Linked DNA regions of Elephas maximus indicus. The protein of the gene in region 1 purifies or fractionates together with the protein of each later gene. This does not show direct contact. Links are inferred from orthologs where the notes say so. Each region holds a gene or a part of one and is shown on either strand. Other genes may lie near its edges. The genes, in order: VPS4A and ZFYVE19.

Region 1 (7,499 bases):
AAAGACAGGTACCTAAGGAGGGGATGCTTGGGCACAGAGTTCACTATACCAGTAGTTCCAGTAAGGAAAGTGTTTGGTTATAGCTGAGACAAATATGTGCTGCTAATTGAGGGGCACTGTCCTCTGGAACCTTCTAAGAACTCAGAGTGAGTGAGTGAGTCTCTGTGAATCTTATAAATTCTGCAGGCCTGTGCCCCAGTCTGAACGAAAAGCATACTGGCTCTTTTCAGGCAGCTGCCCACACCCACATACCCACTTTTAGAAACTGCAGCTTCTCGAACCAGAAGCATTACCAGAAATTACCATCCTCTGTCAGATACAGCTCTGTTCCCCCGGCGTATACCCAGAACCCCATCCACAGTAAACAATAAACCTCCTGGCCAGCTTCTTGCGGGGCCGGGGCATTTGTGAAGTCCTTCCTTATTTGAAGGTAAGATGTCTCAGAAGGACATGGACTACAACACTAACAGACGGGGGGTAAATTAGGCCAAGCTGATGGCAAATGAACTCCAGACTAAAGAGATGAGAAAAAGGTGTAAAAGAGTATTGGCTCCTACCTTCAAGTTTCAGCTCCCTCCTCTACCTACAAATAGAAATTGGCTAGGAGCCCTGGACCTTCTTGGATGATTGGCTTACATACAAGCTTCACTTATCTAGTCTCTCTCCCCCGGAGAGCCCTTTAGATAAGACATGAGGCAGTGCTCCTGCCCCTGGTGGCTTCTCTTCTCCAGAATAAACACCCCCAGCTCCTTGGACTTTTTCCTTCCCTAGCTTCTATGTTGTTATTGTTGTTGTTAGTTGCCATGAGTCAATTCCAACTCATGGTGACCCCGTGTGTGCAGAGCAGAACCGTTCCACAGGGTTTTCAAGCCTGTGACATTTCAGAAGCAGATCACAGGCCTGTCTTCTGAGGCACCTCTGGGTTTGTTTGAACCACCAATCTTTCAGCTGGTAGTATAGTGCTTAACCATTTGCACATCCAGGGACACCCAAGCGTCCCTAGTCCTTTTGAAAGGTGAGGCCCAGAACAATACTAGGAGGTGGAGCACAGCAGGCCTGGCCCATGCCCTCCCTCCTTCAAAATACTCAATTAATACACCTAAGAGTACATTAGATTTTTCTGGCAATCACATGCAGTTTTTCCATATGCAGGAGGCTTTACCTTCAATTTGGAGAGGAAGAGCTTTGTATAACAGTATAGTAAGGTGACAAACAATACTGCCAGTCCTGCCACACTTCTAGTAACACGTATGGTGAAGAATTAAGGAAGAAAGTAAAGATGTGCTAACAAAGAGGTTGGCAAACTTCTGTAAAGGGCCAGACAGTAAACATTTTAGACTTTGCCAGCCATATGTTCTCTGTCACCATTACTCAACTCTGCTATTGTAGTGCAAAAGCAGCCACAGAAAGTATAAAAAGGAATGAGCGCTGTTGTGCCCCAAGGACACTTCATTCACAGATATGGAAACGTGAATTTCATGACTTTCACGTGTCATAAAATAATCTATTTTTTCAACCATTTAGAAATGTAGGAACCTACAACATGGATAAATCTTAAACATTATGCCAAGTGAATGAAGTCAGTCACAAAGCGTTATATATTATATGATCCCATTTACATAAAATGTCCAGAATAGGCAAAAATATACCAACAGAAAGTAGATTAGGAGTTGCCTAGGGCCAGGAGGGTTGTGGGGATGGGGAGTGTTAGCTAAGGGATGCTGGGTTTCTTTTAGGCTGATGAAAATGTTCTAGAACTGACTGTGGTGATGGTTGCACATATCTAGGAATATACCAAAAGCCACTGAACTAGACACTAAATGGATGAATTGTATGGTAAGTGAATTATATCTTAACAAAGCTGTTTTTAAAAATGTAAAAACCATTCTTAGCTCACAGGCCATACAAAAACTGGCTGGGCAGGCTGGATCTGGCCCGAAGACTGGAGTTTGCCCAGTCTTGTGATAAGGTATTAGAGCTCTATGGTTGGGATCTGGCTTTGTACCCCAGCTAACTCCTGGCCTAATACTGCACTTAATTCCATGCCTCCATTCCCACTTTTTCCTCCCCCCACATACGGGAATGCTACCATCCTTGATGCTCTGGCCAAATGCCCCCTCTTCTATGAAGTCTTGTCTAACACCCCCAAGCACTTCCTCATCACACACTGAGCACTAACAATGTACCAGACACTGTGTTACGAATGTTTGAACTGAAGTACTCAATCCAGACCCATTCTCACAACAACCCTATGAATTATGGTACTCCCATCTCCATTTCACAGACAAGGAAAAGCAAGATTCCAAGATCAAATAAACCAGTCCAAGGTCACATGCTACTGAGTGGCGGGGCAGATTCAAACCCAGGTCTGGAGGCTAAGCGTGTTTATGTTTTATGGCCCTGCAGGACTGGCAGCACCAGGTGAATGGGTCAGCCATTCATCCAAGTGCTGCCACCCCAGCAGCGCCCTGCACCACCAGAAGAGAAGTCGGAGACCAGGCAAGAAGCTGGGGCTCCTTCGAAGTGGGGCAGAGGGGCTTCCAGGACCCGGGGCAGAAGGTGGGAGTGAGCATCACCAGAGCGACTAGCCGGAACCAGGGCCGGAGATTGCCCTGGAGGGGCCTGTGGGCCCAGTGATCAAAACGACGGTACCGGGGCGCCGGATGCACGTAGCGGCCTCGGGGCTCGGCCCAGCCAGGGCCGGGGTGGACTGGGAAGGGAAGGCGCCCGTCGGCTCCTATCACGTGAACACAGACCGGGAGGAGCGGGAGGCGCAGACTGCCGGAGCGGGGCTGAGGCCGCAAGGCCCAGGCTTCGGGGGCGGCCGCCGGCCTGCCCGATTCCGCGGCCCGCAGGCCCCGCCGCGCCGAGGTACCTGGAGAGTTGACGTTGTCATTTCATCTCCTGGGTCCGCCCCACACCCCGCGGTGCTGCTTGCGGCCTCAGTTCGGGCCCGGAGAGCCCAGGTGCTGGGTCCGGCACAGGGAACCGGGGGGGTTGGGGCCGAGAGCTGGCAGGTCTGCCGCTCGCACCGGAGCCGAGTCCCACGGCAAGCGAGGAGCGCGGCCAGAGCGGTCGGGCCCGAGGCGCGCTGCTGCCCCTGGAGGCCTCGGCCGGTACTACAGGGACCGCTCCCCGCTGTGGTCGATTGGCCACCCCGCAGCTAGGCGAGGACTGGGCGGGACAGGGGGCGTGTCAGGGCGGGGTGGGCCTAGTAGGGGGAGGGCTGGGGCGGGGCCTGGGATAGGGGGGTGGGACCAATGCCTAGGTGAGCGAGGCGAGACCAAGGGCCGAAGTATCTGAACCCCATTTCCAATAAAATTTTTGGAACAGGTATGGCTAGAATGCTCCTTAGAAGCAAGAATGACGAGACATCATCTATTTTACGTTGGTTGTGTTATCAGGAGGGAGCAATTGTTGGAGAAAAGCATCATGCTTGGGAAAATAACAGGGTCAGTGAAAAAGAGGAAGCCTCTCAACAAGATTGACAAAGTGGCTGCAACAGTGGGCTCAGACCTAACAGTTGTATAGATGGGGCAGGACAGGCAACACTTCTTTCTGTTATACATAGAGTCGCTAAGAGTCGGAACCCACTCATGGGCACCGACGGAGAAGTTTACTCGCACAGTAAACCTAACTTCCCAGAGCTTTGGTCTCATCTTTTGTGTGTGTGTGTGTGTGTGTGTGTGTGTGTGTGTGTGTGTGTGCTTTAAGTGAAAGTTTATAAATCAAGTCAGTCTCCCGTACAAAAATTTGTATATACCTTGCTATATACTCGTTTGCACTGGTTTTTTTTTTTTTTTTATATACTCGTAGTTGATCTCCCCCTGGTGAGACAGCACACTCCTTCCCTCCACTCCCTATTTTCATGTCCATTCGGCCAGCTTCTGACCCCCTCTGCCCTCTCATCTCCCCTCCAGACAGGAGCTGCTCACATAGTCTCATGTGTCTACTTGATCCAAGATGCTCACTTCTCACCAGTATCATTTTCTATCCCATATTCCAGTCCAATCCCTGTCTGAAGAGTTGGCTTTGGGAATGGTTCCTGTCTTGGGCTAACAGAAGGTCTGGGGACCATGACCTCCGGGGTCCTTCTAGTCTCAGTCAGACCATTAAATCTGGTCTTTTTATGAGAATTTGAGGTCTGCATCCCACTGCTCTCCTGCACCCTCAGGGGTTCTCTGTTGTGTTCCCTGTCAGGCAGTCATCGGTTGTAGCCGGGCACCATCTAGTTCTTCTGGTCTCAGGCTGATGTAGTCTTTGGTTTATGTGGCCTTTCTGTCTCTTGGGCTCATAATTACCTTGTGTCTTTGGTATTCTTCATTCTCCTTTGATCCAGGTAGGTTGAGACCAATTGATGCATCTTAGATGGCTGCTTGCTAGCGTTTAAGACCCCAGCCTGTGTAAAGGACCCAGAGAGGCCACTGGTGGATTTCATGAAACTGAACAAAGCCTAGATTGCTGGAGCAGAAAATAAGGTGAAGTCTGATGTGAACTGGTGCTGGGGAGGTGGGCAGGTGCCAAGACATTTGGCTATAGTAAAGATTTTGGGTTTTATCCTAAAAACAATGATAAACCATATTTTAAATAAGTTTTTTTTGTTTTGTTTTGTCATTTTGCATTTTGGATAGAGGACTCTAAACCTAGTATAGAGAGCAGATTGGAAGGAGAGGTGAACTATTGCAATATGAAGCTGTTGGCATAGTCCAGAAGAGTAAGGGAAGCTTGGGCCAGGGGGAGGGCTATGGAGAAATGTATGCAGAGAGGAGAGGTTTGGAAGGCAAACAATAAACACTTAGAAATGGATTAGATACAGGGCATGAAGGGCAGGAGGGGTCAAGGATGACTCCTGGGTTTCTGGCTTTGGCAGGTGGACGGATGGTGGTGCTACTGAGATAGAGAACACTGAACAAAGGCCAGGTTTGAGAGATGGTGGGTGAAGATCTTGAATGTGAGGTGCTTTTGAAATATCCCTGTAAAAACAAGTGTCAGCTGGATATACTGCATCAGAAACTCAGAAGATGAGGGCTGGAGGTTCACATCTGCGAGACATCTGGATACGAGTAGGAATGGAAGCTATGTGAGTGAGAACTCTTAGGGAAGACTAGCGTGTAGGGTGAGGGGAGGAGTGAGCTTTAAAGTTTGTTGGCCAACCAGGGGAGGGTGAGCTTGCAAAAGAAGCTCAGAAAGAGAGCTGGAGAGGTAGGCCAGAAGAGTGTCTTGGTAGTCAGGGGAGGAGTGTCTCAGGGGGAGGATTGTTGATAAGGAGGTAAGGGACAGAAGTACCTAATGCAGCTGAGAAGGAGGCAATGATATGGAAGACCCCAATGACCTCAGCCTGGGAAGTTTCAGTGAAGTGATGGAGGCAGAAGCCATATTACAGTAGGCTTCTTGGAGAAACGGCTGATTTCAGGCCTGGAGCAGGAAAGTACAAGATGAGTCTTTGTTGTGCCAGAAATAAATGTTTAAAGAATGATGGGTCCATATCAAAAGGACACAGTAGCCAGTTTGAAGAGGATCCCCCTGGCTAAATCTAGAATTCTTTTGGGATATAAAAATAAATATATTGTTAATCCCATTTAAAATTGTTAACCAATTAAAAAATAGGAATCCAAGAATCTTTAACATCAATCAATCAATCAATAAATGTGTGGGGGAGGGGGAGAGGAAATTCTTACTTACAATAGAATGCTAACTGATAAATGTAGAAGGAATGATAGTAATAGTCACCATCTGGTAACCATCACAATGGTAGACAATACAGGTAAACCTACTGCTGTCGAGTCGATTCCAGACTCACAGCCACTCTATAGACAGAGTAGAACTGCCCCATAGGGTTTCCAAGGTTGTAAATCTTTACGGAAGCAGACTGCCACATCTTTCTCCTGCAGAGCAGTTGGTGGGTTTGAACCACCGACCTTTCAGTTAGCAGCCAAGGGCTTTAACCACTGTGCCACCAGGGTTCTATATCAACGGAGGCTAAGGCTAGTGGGTGGAGGTCTGATGAAGAACAGCATACTGGCATAGTATCAAAATACCTACACCACAAAAATGCTAATCAAATACACAGGGAAAAATGGTAGAGACACTAACTTGACTAGGTGATCAAAGTTAGCATCACCAGTGTGGGATGAGGTGACATACTCTGAGAAGGGCACAGCATCACTTCTTTGGTATTCTTGCCCAGAATTCCTGACCTGATCTATAATGAGGTCATATGGGATGGAACCAGGCAGAGGGTCATCCTGCAGAACGAAAGACCTAAGCTCGGTAAGATTGTCAAGGACATGAGAATTCGAAAAAAGACCGGGTCGCTGCTCCAGACTGAAGAAACTGATGAGGTATGACAACCAAATGCAACATGTGGCACTGGATAGGATTCTGGACCAGAAAGGAAAAAGGGACATTGTTGGGATGGTTGACATCATTTGAATGGGATCGGATGGCAGTGTGGCACCAATGTTGGTATCCCGATTGGGAGGGTTGTATAGTGGCAGTGTGGGAGTGTCTTTGCTTTTGGGAGGTACACACTAGAGAATTTACAGGTGATAGGGTTTCATGTCAGAAAAAGATAAATTTAGTAAATTGTTAACAATTGGGGAATTTGGGTAAAGGGGATGTAGGAGTTCTTTTTATTGTTCTTGAAATTTTCCTATAGGTTTGAAACTATTCCAACAAAAAAAAAAAGAAAAAATGCAAATCTAAAAGCAATTTTTTATTTACAGTATAAAGGTTACAAAGGTATATATGTATTTATATATATAATACCCTTAAGTTACAAATTTTCATTGTAATGTACAATGTTATATGTTGATTTGCAACTCAAAAGGAAGTGTTGTCTATGCATCTATATTTATAGAGTACACATAAAGCTTTTTTTAATTAAGAACAAAAATACCACCTTGTTTTACGCCACGTATTTTTGATTTGGTAGCCTGGTGACACCAGAAGATTTCAAACTTAAACCTTAAACAAGATTTTAAAAGAAGTCTTGTTTAAATAAAGGATTCTAAAAAGAAAAAACAATATCATATAATTTTAATTCTTTGTAGAAGTATTGTTCTTTCTAAGCCTTAATACTTAACAAAAATGAAAGTTGTATGGAACAGAATACATATGAGTGGGTATGATCAGAATTTGCACAGATTAGCCAAAGTAGGCCTTCGTACGTAGTGGTTTGCCATGTTATTTGCTAGAAGACCTTGGATCTGGTACCAAAAGGGAAATAGATTCTTTGGGCATCAAGGTCTTATAATGCTGCACTCATCCAAGAGATTGTAAACATAACACTGGAGTACTATACTACAGGAAAAAAATCTGAAACTGGTTATTATAAGGGCAGATCTGCTACAAGATGAGAAGAATAGCCTCAAGATTGGTGATTATGCCAAACCTGAAACTCAGTTGAAATCACTTACTTTTCCCCACATTCTGTAAATTCACAAAATAGAGGCGAAAAAACGTAGCTGATACCCATTCTAACAGGATAGAGATAAAAA
Region 2 (7,822 bases), on another chromosome or scaffold:
TGCCAGCTGTGTCAGCAGATCCTGTGCCTGCTGGGGCTGGGTCCTGGTGTCTGGTGGCTGATGGACCTGCCCAGAGGACAGAGCTTCAGTGTGCAGGGAGGGGAAGCGACACTATGAGGCCCAGAAGCAGTCTTGGTCAGGGGTGTATACTAAGGAGTTCTCAAAGCCCAAGGAGTATCAGTACCAGTAGCCGTAAAGATGATTCCAACTCATTGCGACCCCCTGTGTGTCAGAGTAGAACTGCACTCCATAGAGTTTTCTTTCAGAAGTAGATTGCCAGGCCTTCCTTCTAAGGTGCCCCTGGGTGGATTCAAACTGCTAACATTTTGGTTAGTAGATGGTACTTAACCATTTCACCACTCAGGGAAAGGGGATTAATTCAGGCCCATATAATCTAGTGGGTCTGGCAGTGCCCAACAGGACTGAGGGGCCACCTTTTCGTGCTCCACCCAATCCTGCTGCTCACCCCTGGTTCCCTGGCCTGGCAGCAGAGCTGAGGATCAGGGGGTGGGGGTGGGAGGCTTTGCTAACTCTGCAAAGTACATGACCGAATGTGCATCTGGGCTTCTGCTGGGCCCTCTCCCTAGGACCTCCTTCCCACCCAAGCCATGGCACCTACCGGTTGGGGGCCCTGAGAGGGCAGAACTCTGCCCTGCAATGTGGCAAGCCGTGCCTCCATCTCCTGGGTGGATGGGATGGAACCCTGGGCTTCGTCCCTCAGTGCAGCCAGCCGGGCTTCTATCTCTGCCTGTGAGGGCACTGACTCTGGAATTGGCATGGGAGGGAGCTCTGTAAGGCCAGAGGAATCCCAATCCCGGGAGCCCCTGGCTGTGCCCTTCAGACCACCCTGCCCACCCCCACTCACTGGGCTTGTTCTTCTGGCGGAGCCGTGCCAGGCGCTCAGCAATGACCTGGTCTTGTGGGGTCAGTCCCTGGCTCCGGGGAGTGCTGGGCTTCTGCTTGGCTTCCAAAGCTGCCATGCGTCTGGTGGGACATGAGACAGAGGCTCTTGAGGAAGGCAGGGAGTAGGGAGGAAGGTGACCACTTACTATTTCCCATTCAAATCATTTCTCTGCATCTGGTCGGGGGGGGTGGGTCTCTAATGGGCACCTTCTGTGGCCCTTGCTCATGTTGCCCTGCAGCCCAACCCAGCTTTAGCAGACACGGCAAGGTCTACCAGGCGCCTTTTCTGGGGAGAGGGCTGATGACCTGCTTTCTAAGCCCAAGAGGGAAGTCAGGAGCCTGAGACAGGGATTCTCTTCACCCTGTGCTTGCTCATTTATTCTAGGAGCTGGGAGGACAGTCCTACCCTGATGGTCTTTTGTTCTCTACCCATCCCCGTCTCTTTCTCTTCAGCACTTACTTCTTATAGTTCTGAGGTGGTGACCACTTGGAGGTGTTGGCAGGAGCGGCCCCTCTATAGTGAAGAAATCTAGTGTCAGAATTCTGCCACCCTGCCAGGCAGCGCCCTTCCCTCCCCCACTCCCAGTTTCCTGGGCTGACACCTGGTCATAGAGCACAGGGCTGTAAGAGCTGTCAGCTGTCCACTGCCATGCTTGGCTGGACCCTGGCCACCTCGCCTCTCACCTGGTCAGGACCTCGTGGCACTGCTTGCAGACTTTGTGCTGGGTGTTCCCAGCCCGGGGCACTACTGCACTGTAGCTGAGGCAGCCAGAACAGAAGGCCCGGCCACAGTTCTTACAGCCGCACTGCAGGAAGGAAAAGGAGGCTATACCTCTCACGTGCCCCTGCAGGCTCCTCCCTGGGACTCCTCAAGCACACAGACAGGGAAGACACTGATGTGGTGACCAGTCACTGAGAGGGGGAAGAGGAGTGGGGCCCCTGACGCCTGGGGAGAGACAGGGGCTGCAGGTGGGGCAATTCCTCAGTCTCCAGTCTCTTATTCAAATCAAGTACAGCTTCATGCAAAATTCCCAGTGCTTTCTACCCCAGCTTCAATTCCCAGGCACAGGGGTGTAGAAGGCAGAGAGACAAAGTCTCATGCTTCAAGTCACTGACCCTTCAACAAAGGAGAATCACAGAGTGCAGGGCCCACGCCTTCTCTGCTCTAGCCAAGTGGGCGGGTGGCTTGGTTTGGCATAGAATAGTAACAATAGCCTCTATTTATTAAGCACTTACTGTGTGCCAGGCACTGAGCTCAGTACCAAACATTCATCTGATTTAATCCTCACAATTTACATACATTACCTTAATAAATTTTTATAACCACCATTTATTGTCCCTATTTTAGATGGGGCCAGAGAAGTTACATGACTTGCCCAGACCAAGGAAGGTCATCGCGTGAACAGGACAGCAGAACTCAAATTTGAACCCTGACCACTCTGACTCCAAAACCCAGGCTAAGTGCTACACCATCCTGCCTCCCTGTGTGCCATAATTCATTCCATCTGGTTCTCATCTCTTGGTCAGATGCCCGGGCCATAGCTAAGGCACAGGAACTTGGGAGGTCCCTGAGGTCCCTGCATGTCTTTGCAATGGTGCCCTGGGGGCAGGAGGAAGGACAGTAATCTAACTCAAGAGACCCGGGAAAGGCAGGCTGCGATGGAGAAGAGAATAAAGGGCATGTGTGATGGAGAGTGATCACAGGGCATTAACTAAGACCGGGCTGCGGAGGAGCAGGTTGGAGAAGGAAACTGCCAGACCGTACATCTGGCGGACAGAAAGGCGTAGCTTTCCAAAAACGACAGCAGCATGCTTTACAGTTTATAGGGCACTTTCAACTCCAGATCTCACTGGACCCTCACAACTCCGAATGCGAGGCAACATTAGTCCCATTTTACGGAAATGGTAACTGAGGCTCAATAAGTTCATCAAAACCACACAGCTGGAAAGGGGCTGAACCGGGCCGTAAACACTGCAGTCTTCGGACTGCAAACCCCGTGTTTTTCCCTCCGCTCCGCGTCCTCCCTGGCCCTCCTGCCCCCGGGGAGAAAAGACTCGCCTCCTTCTTGAAGAGTGTGAACTTGGCTGCGCAGCCGTAGCACCTACTGTCCATCTTGGCTCCCGAACGTCAGGTTTGGCAGAGCTGAGGTCACGCAGGCCAAGCCAAGGACCCCTGGACTCTCACCCAGCACCGCCCGGCACTACACGCCCACCCGGGCGTTGCTGCTGCGGCCTCTGGCCGGGAGTCTGGACAAACCACGGGTGCCTGAGCGCGGCCGCGGCGGGGCGGGGACTGCTGGGAGTCGTAGTTCTTTCACGACAGCCCGCCTCCCTCAGAGTCAGGCCAACCAGACCCAGAACACTACAATTCCCAGGGGGCTAGACGCCATTAAGCCTGGCCGAGCCGGGAGGCCCTCGGGAGTCCGAACGCACGCTTAGGCTCTTGGGAGTTGTAGTACCAACCGAGCCAGGGTCGTAACCATGGCTGTGACCAAAGAGCTCTTACAGATGGACCTGTACTCGCTGCTAGGGATTGAGGAGAAGGCGACGGACAAAGAGGTGAGAACAGTGGCGAGGAGGGCCGATCCTGAGCCGTCCTTCCTGTCTTAGCACCTCGTCTGCTGCTGGCACTCGGTCTCGAGGTTCGACCGGGCGCTGGGCGGGAGCGAGGGGGGCCCGACGGCCTCAGAAGATGGGCTCCCAGACCTTTCCTGGGTCTGAGGGCCTCGAGGGGAGGGGCAGGGCGCACAGAGGACTCCTCGCGCCGCGTGACCGTGCTCTGTGGCCCCTGTCTGGGAGAGGCCCCGGGGTGAGCCTCCGGGGGAACCCTAGCCTCCTTTCTACGCCTGCGCAGTCGCAGCCTCTGCTTCCGCTTGTCTGTGGACTGTAGCTGGAGGTGCTTCGTTCAGTTTCGACTGAAGGCACATTTCACTCCACTTAGAGCCTTGGGAGGAAGACAAGCCGGGTCTCAAGGCGCCCCCACTCTCACTTCATCCCCCCTTAGGATTGTGACCTATGACTCTGCCGGCTGTATTTTCTTTTCCAGCAAGCTCATTGACTCTTTTCAAGTAGTAGATGTTTAGGTGTTGTACTTCTTAGTGGGCCAAAAGAAGGAGGGTCAGAAGACTCAGGCAGGTAGCCCGGGGTTCCACAGGAAGGTTTTAATAAAATGCCAGGGAATGGGACACTGATCAAGACACTGACCAAACTGTACTTAAGATTTCTGTTCCGTTTTCCTGAATCATGGTGGCAGTTATAGCCTGGTTGGAAGGAGAGTCCAGTAATTCATTGGATGGAAATTAATGCCAGCTATTGCCCATTTATTGCCCATTAGGAAACCCTGGTGGCGTAGTGGTTAAGAGCCACGGCCGCTAAGCAAAAAAGGTCGGCAGTTCAAATCCACCGGGCGCTCCTTGGAAACTCTATGGGGGAGTTCTACTCTGTCCTATAGGGTGGGTTTTTTGGGTTTAATGCCCATTAATGCCCTTGTGCTTCTGGGCTGCCCTGCTCATGGGCTGAATGAGCTGTGAGAAGCAGCAGCTCTGGGACAGAAAAGCTGTCCGCTTGCGCAGTACTTTCCACCGCAGCTACAGCTGAAATCAGAAGTAAGTTACAGCGATGCCTAAGACCCATTGCTATCAATTTCAATTCATAGACCCTGCAGGACAGGGTAGAACTGCCCTGTAGGGTTTCCAGGACTGTTGTCTTTATAGAAGCAGACTGCCACATCTTTCTCCCATGGAGCCACTGGTGGGTTCAAACTGCTTAACCACTGTGCCAGCAAGGCTCCTTCAAGGATGTCTGCAGGGCACCAAAACCGTCTACTACATCCCTTACCAAAAAAAAAAACAAACCCGTTGCCGTCTAGTCGATTCTGACTCATAGTGACCCTACATCCCTTATAAGTCATAAAATTGCAGTGTTAATAATGCCTAATAGGTATGTAATGCCTACTATGTGGTGTAGTGGTTAAGAGCTACAGCTGCTAACCAGGAGGTCAGCAGTTCAAATCCACCAGGTGCTCCTTGGAAAGCCTATGGGCCAGTTCTACTCTATCCTATAGGGTCACTATGAGTCAGAATTGACTTGATGGCAACAGGTTTTTGTATGTGCTGAATTTGTTAAATCATTTAATTAGTACTTCATTAATACTGAGAAATTATTTGGGACATTTCACACCAGATCCAGCCAGTGTGTTGGAACCCTGAAGCTGAGAACTCCTGATGAAGGCAATTGGGAGCCAGTGATGTATATATATAAAACTATATATGTATATACATACCTGTTGCTGTTGAGTCGATTCCAACTCACAGCGACTCTGTAGGACAGAGTAGAACTGCCCCATAGAGTTTCCAAGGAGCGCCTGGTAGATTCGAACCTTTTGAATAGCAGCTGTAATTTAATCCCTGTGTCACCAGTGTTTCCGTATATATATATATATATATGTAAAAATCAGAGAAGTAACATAATTGGATTTTTAAAGGAAATATTCAATATCAGTGTGCAGAATGGACACGGGGTGAGGGTGGAGGAGCTGCCGCGAGGGGGTCAGGTGGAGCTGTTGTCTAGGCAAGAGACCAATGCCTGAGCTGGGCAGAGGTGGTTGGAATCAAGAGCTCACTTAGATGGGATAATGGATGTGTGAGAAGGTTCTTTGTAAAGGATAACAGTGCTAATATTTATGGGTTGCTTTCCATGTGCCAGGTCCTTCCCCTGCGTTTTAGTAGGGGAGGCAAGATTCATGCACAATTAACTACAATAAAAGGAGAACATGGTAAGTCTTCTAAGACAAATACAAATAAAGTGTTGTGGATGTTCAGAGTAGGGTGAGATTACTTCTAATTTGGGAGGAGTTGGGGAAATAGAAGAGGCATTTGAGGCCTTGAAGGAAGGGCATAGTTTACCCATGTGGAAATGGAGGAAGGGCATTCCAAGAAAGGGGAGAGGAAAAAAAGAAAAAGGAGAGTATGTACAGTGCAATTTTTCTGGAGCATATACCAAGAAGAAAGGGTAAAAGAAGATAAAACTTGAAAAGTAGGTTGGGGCCTTTGAATACACTGGCTAGCTTCATAGTAATGCACACTTTTTGGTAGACAGCAAGAGAGACCTAGGTTCTGGTGTCCCTCCTCCTTGCGGGGGACAACACCTGTCACATTCTCTGGCGGCAACTGAATGTCTCCTAAACCTTGGTCATCTGGTCATATAGTCCGTGAGTTCTTAATTTTGGTCCACAGAAAGGTTCTAAGAGCTGCTTAAACCCTTGAAATCATGCATTATATGTTTTGTGCATTCATTTTGGGGCAGAGGAGGTAATTCTTACCCAAAAAAAGGCCAATCTCCTTCTGTTACTGATGGTGAAACTGAAGCTCAGAAACTCAGGTTGTTAGTGACAGAATTGGAACTAGATCCCCTGATGCCCAGCCCAGTCAGTGCTCTGTCCCCTGTGTCACCCTGGCCCTGTCACGCACCATATAGCCCAGTGGTAGTGATGGGTACCAACATCAGATTTAACTTCCGTTCAGGCCACGTCTCACAGTTCAAAGTCCATATATTCATCTCTCTACTTCTCTCCATTTGGATGTTTCACAGGGGTCTAAACCTTACTACATTCAAAGTTGAACTCTTGAACTTCCCTCTGGAAACCTGCTCCTTCGATGGACTTCCCATCTCAGTAAATCACCCAGCTACTTAAGCTGGAAACTCAGGGTCATTCTTGATCCCTTTTACCCTCTAACCCCTGCTATCTAGCCTGTCACTTATGCCCTGAGTCAACCTCCTAAATGTTTCTCAAACCTGTTCACTTATCTCCTGTCCACCACTACCAGTCTAGCCCAAGCCACCACCAACTTCTAAGTGAACGATTAGGGCAGCCTGCCAACTTGTTTTCCTCCTTCAAATCTATTCTATCCCAGCTTATTGTCTCCCTCCAATATATTCTCACAGAAAATAGAATGATCTTGGTACTCCCTTAAACCCTCTGGCACTTATAATAAAAGCCCTGCATATATGCTTTCCCAAGCTCTGCCAAGAATGTTTTTCCTCCCCTTCTTTAACTTGGGTTACTTTTACTCATCTTCAGAACTAAGTGTAGATGGCACTTCCTTGCCTGTTATTTTCTTTCCAAGCACCCCATTCTTCTCCTTTCCAGCACCCTCTCAGCTTGCAATTATGTATACATTTGTGTAGTTACTTGTCTCATGTCTTCCCTCCATCTGTACTCTCAGCTCTGATGACCAGATCTGGTCCTTTCACCTCATAGCAGCCCCTTACCTGGTGACTGGCACATCGTAAGTCTTAGTAAATACTTGTTAAATGGGAAGAATCAGGAGTCCTTTCTCAGGGCCTGACCTTCCTCAAAATATAAAATGAGGGAGTTAGGCAAACTTTGACTCCAGGGGTCAAACAGCCTGTTTTCTAAATGGTCCGTGAGAGTGGTTTTTACATTTTTAAAAGATTGTAAACAAAAACAAAGCAAAATGTGTGGTAAAGACCATTCAGGGCCTTGCAAAGCCTAAATTTTTTACTATCTGGCCTGTTACAGAAGTGTGCCAACCACGGCTAGAGTTAGGGACAAGTCCAACTCTACCGTTTTGTCTGTGGAGATAGTCCTTCTGCAGATGTTTTTCTTCATATCACACAAACCTGGGGGGCCTGAAGGGGACCAAACACCATCATTTGGGTGAATTTAGACAGTCCACAGTTCCTGAAGGTAGACATTTTTTTTGTTCCCTACTCCATCCCAGAGGAGTCAGGCAGGGCAGGGTGTTCCCGTCTGACAGGAATGTCTTGGGTTGAGGACCTAGGTTTGGGGTGGAAGTGCTCCTGGGGAGAGGACCTAAAACCAAACCAAACCTGTTGCTGTGGAGTTGATTCCCACTCATAGTGACCGTATAAGCCAGGGTAGAACTGTCCCATAGGG

The links.
Region 2: the proteins of VPS4A (region 1) and ZFYVE19 purify together in Homo sapiens (affinity purification with mass spectrometry; 3 studies listed by BioGRID and IntAct, counting the BioPlex papers as one, with this or other methods). This does not show direct contact. The link is inferred for Elephas maximus indicus from reciprocal best matches to the Homo sapiens genes VPS4A and ZFYVE19.

What each region holds. Positions count from the first base shown.
Region 1 is NC_064839.1:35,547,636-35,555,134, reverse strand, and holds the start of VPS4A (vacuolar protein sorting-associated protein 4A), read right to left. Parts: upstream 3,083-7,499; 5' UTR 2,897-3,082; coding exon 2,876-2,896; intron 1-2,875. UniProt on the Homo sapiens protein: Involved in late steps of the endosomal multivesicular bodies (MVB) pathway. Recognizes membrane-associated ESCRT-III assemblies and catalyzes their disassembly, possibly in combination with membrane fission.
Region 2 is NC_064828.1:15,233,736-15,241,557, forward strand, and holds the start of ZFYVE19 (abscission/NoCut checkpoint regulator), read right to left. Parts: upstream 3,190-7,822; 5' UTR 3,017-3,189; coding exon 2,963-3,016; intron 1,710-2,962; coding exon 1,588-1,709; intron 1,568-1,587; exon of another isoform or gene 1,514-1,567; coding exon of another isoform or gene 1,506-1,513; intron 1,418-1,505; coding exon 1,364-1,417; intron 985-1,363; coding exon 866-984; intron 766-865; coding exon 620-765; intron 67-619; coding exon 1-66. Other genes in the region: DNAJC17 (dnaJ homolog subfamily C member 17), read left to right, coding at 3,385-3,462. UniProt on the Homo sapiens protein: Key regulator of abscission step in cytokinesis: part of the cytokinesis checkpoint, a process required to delay abscission to prevent both premature resolution of intercellular chromosome bridges and accumulation of DNA damage.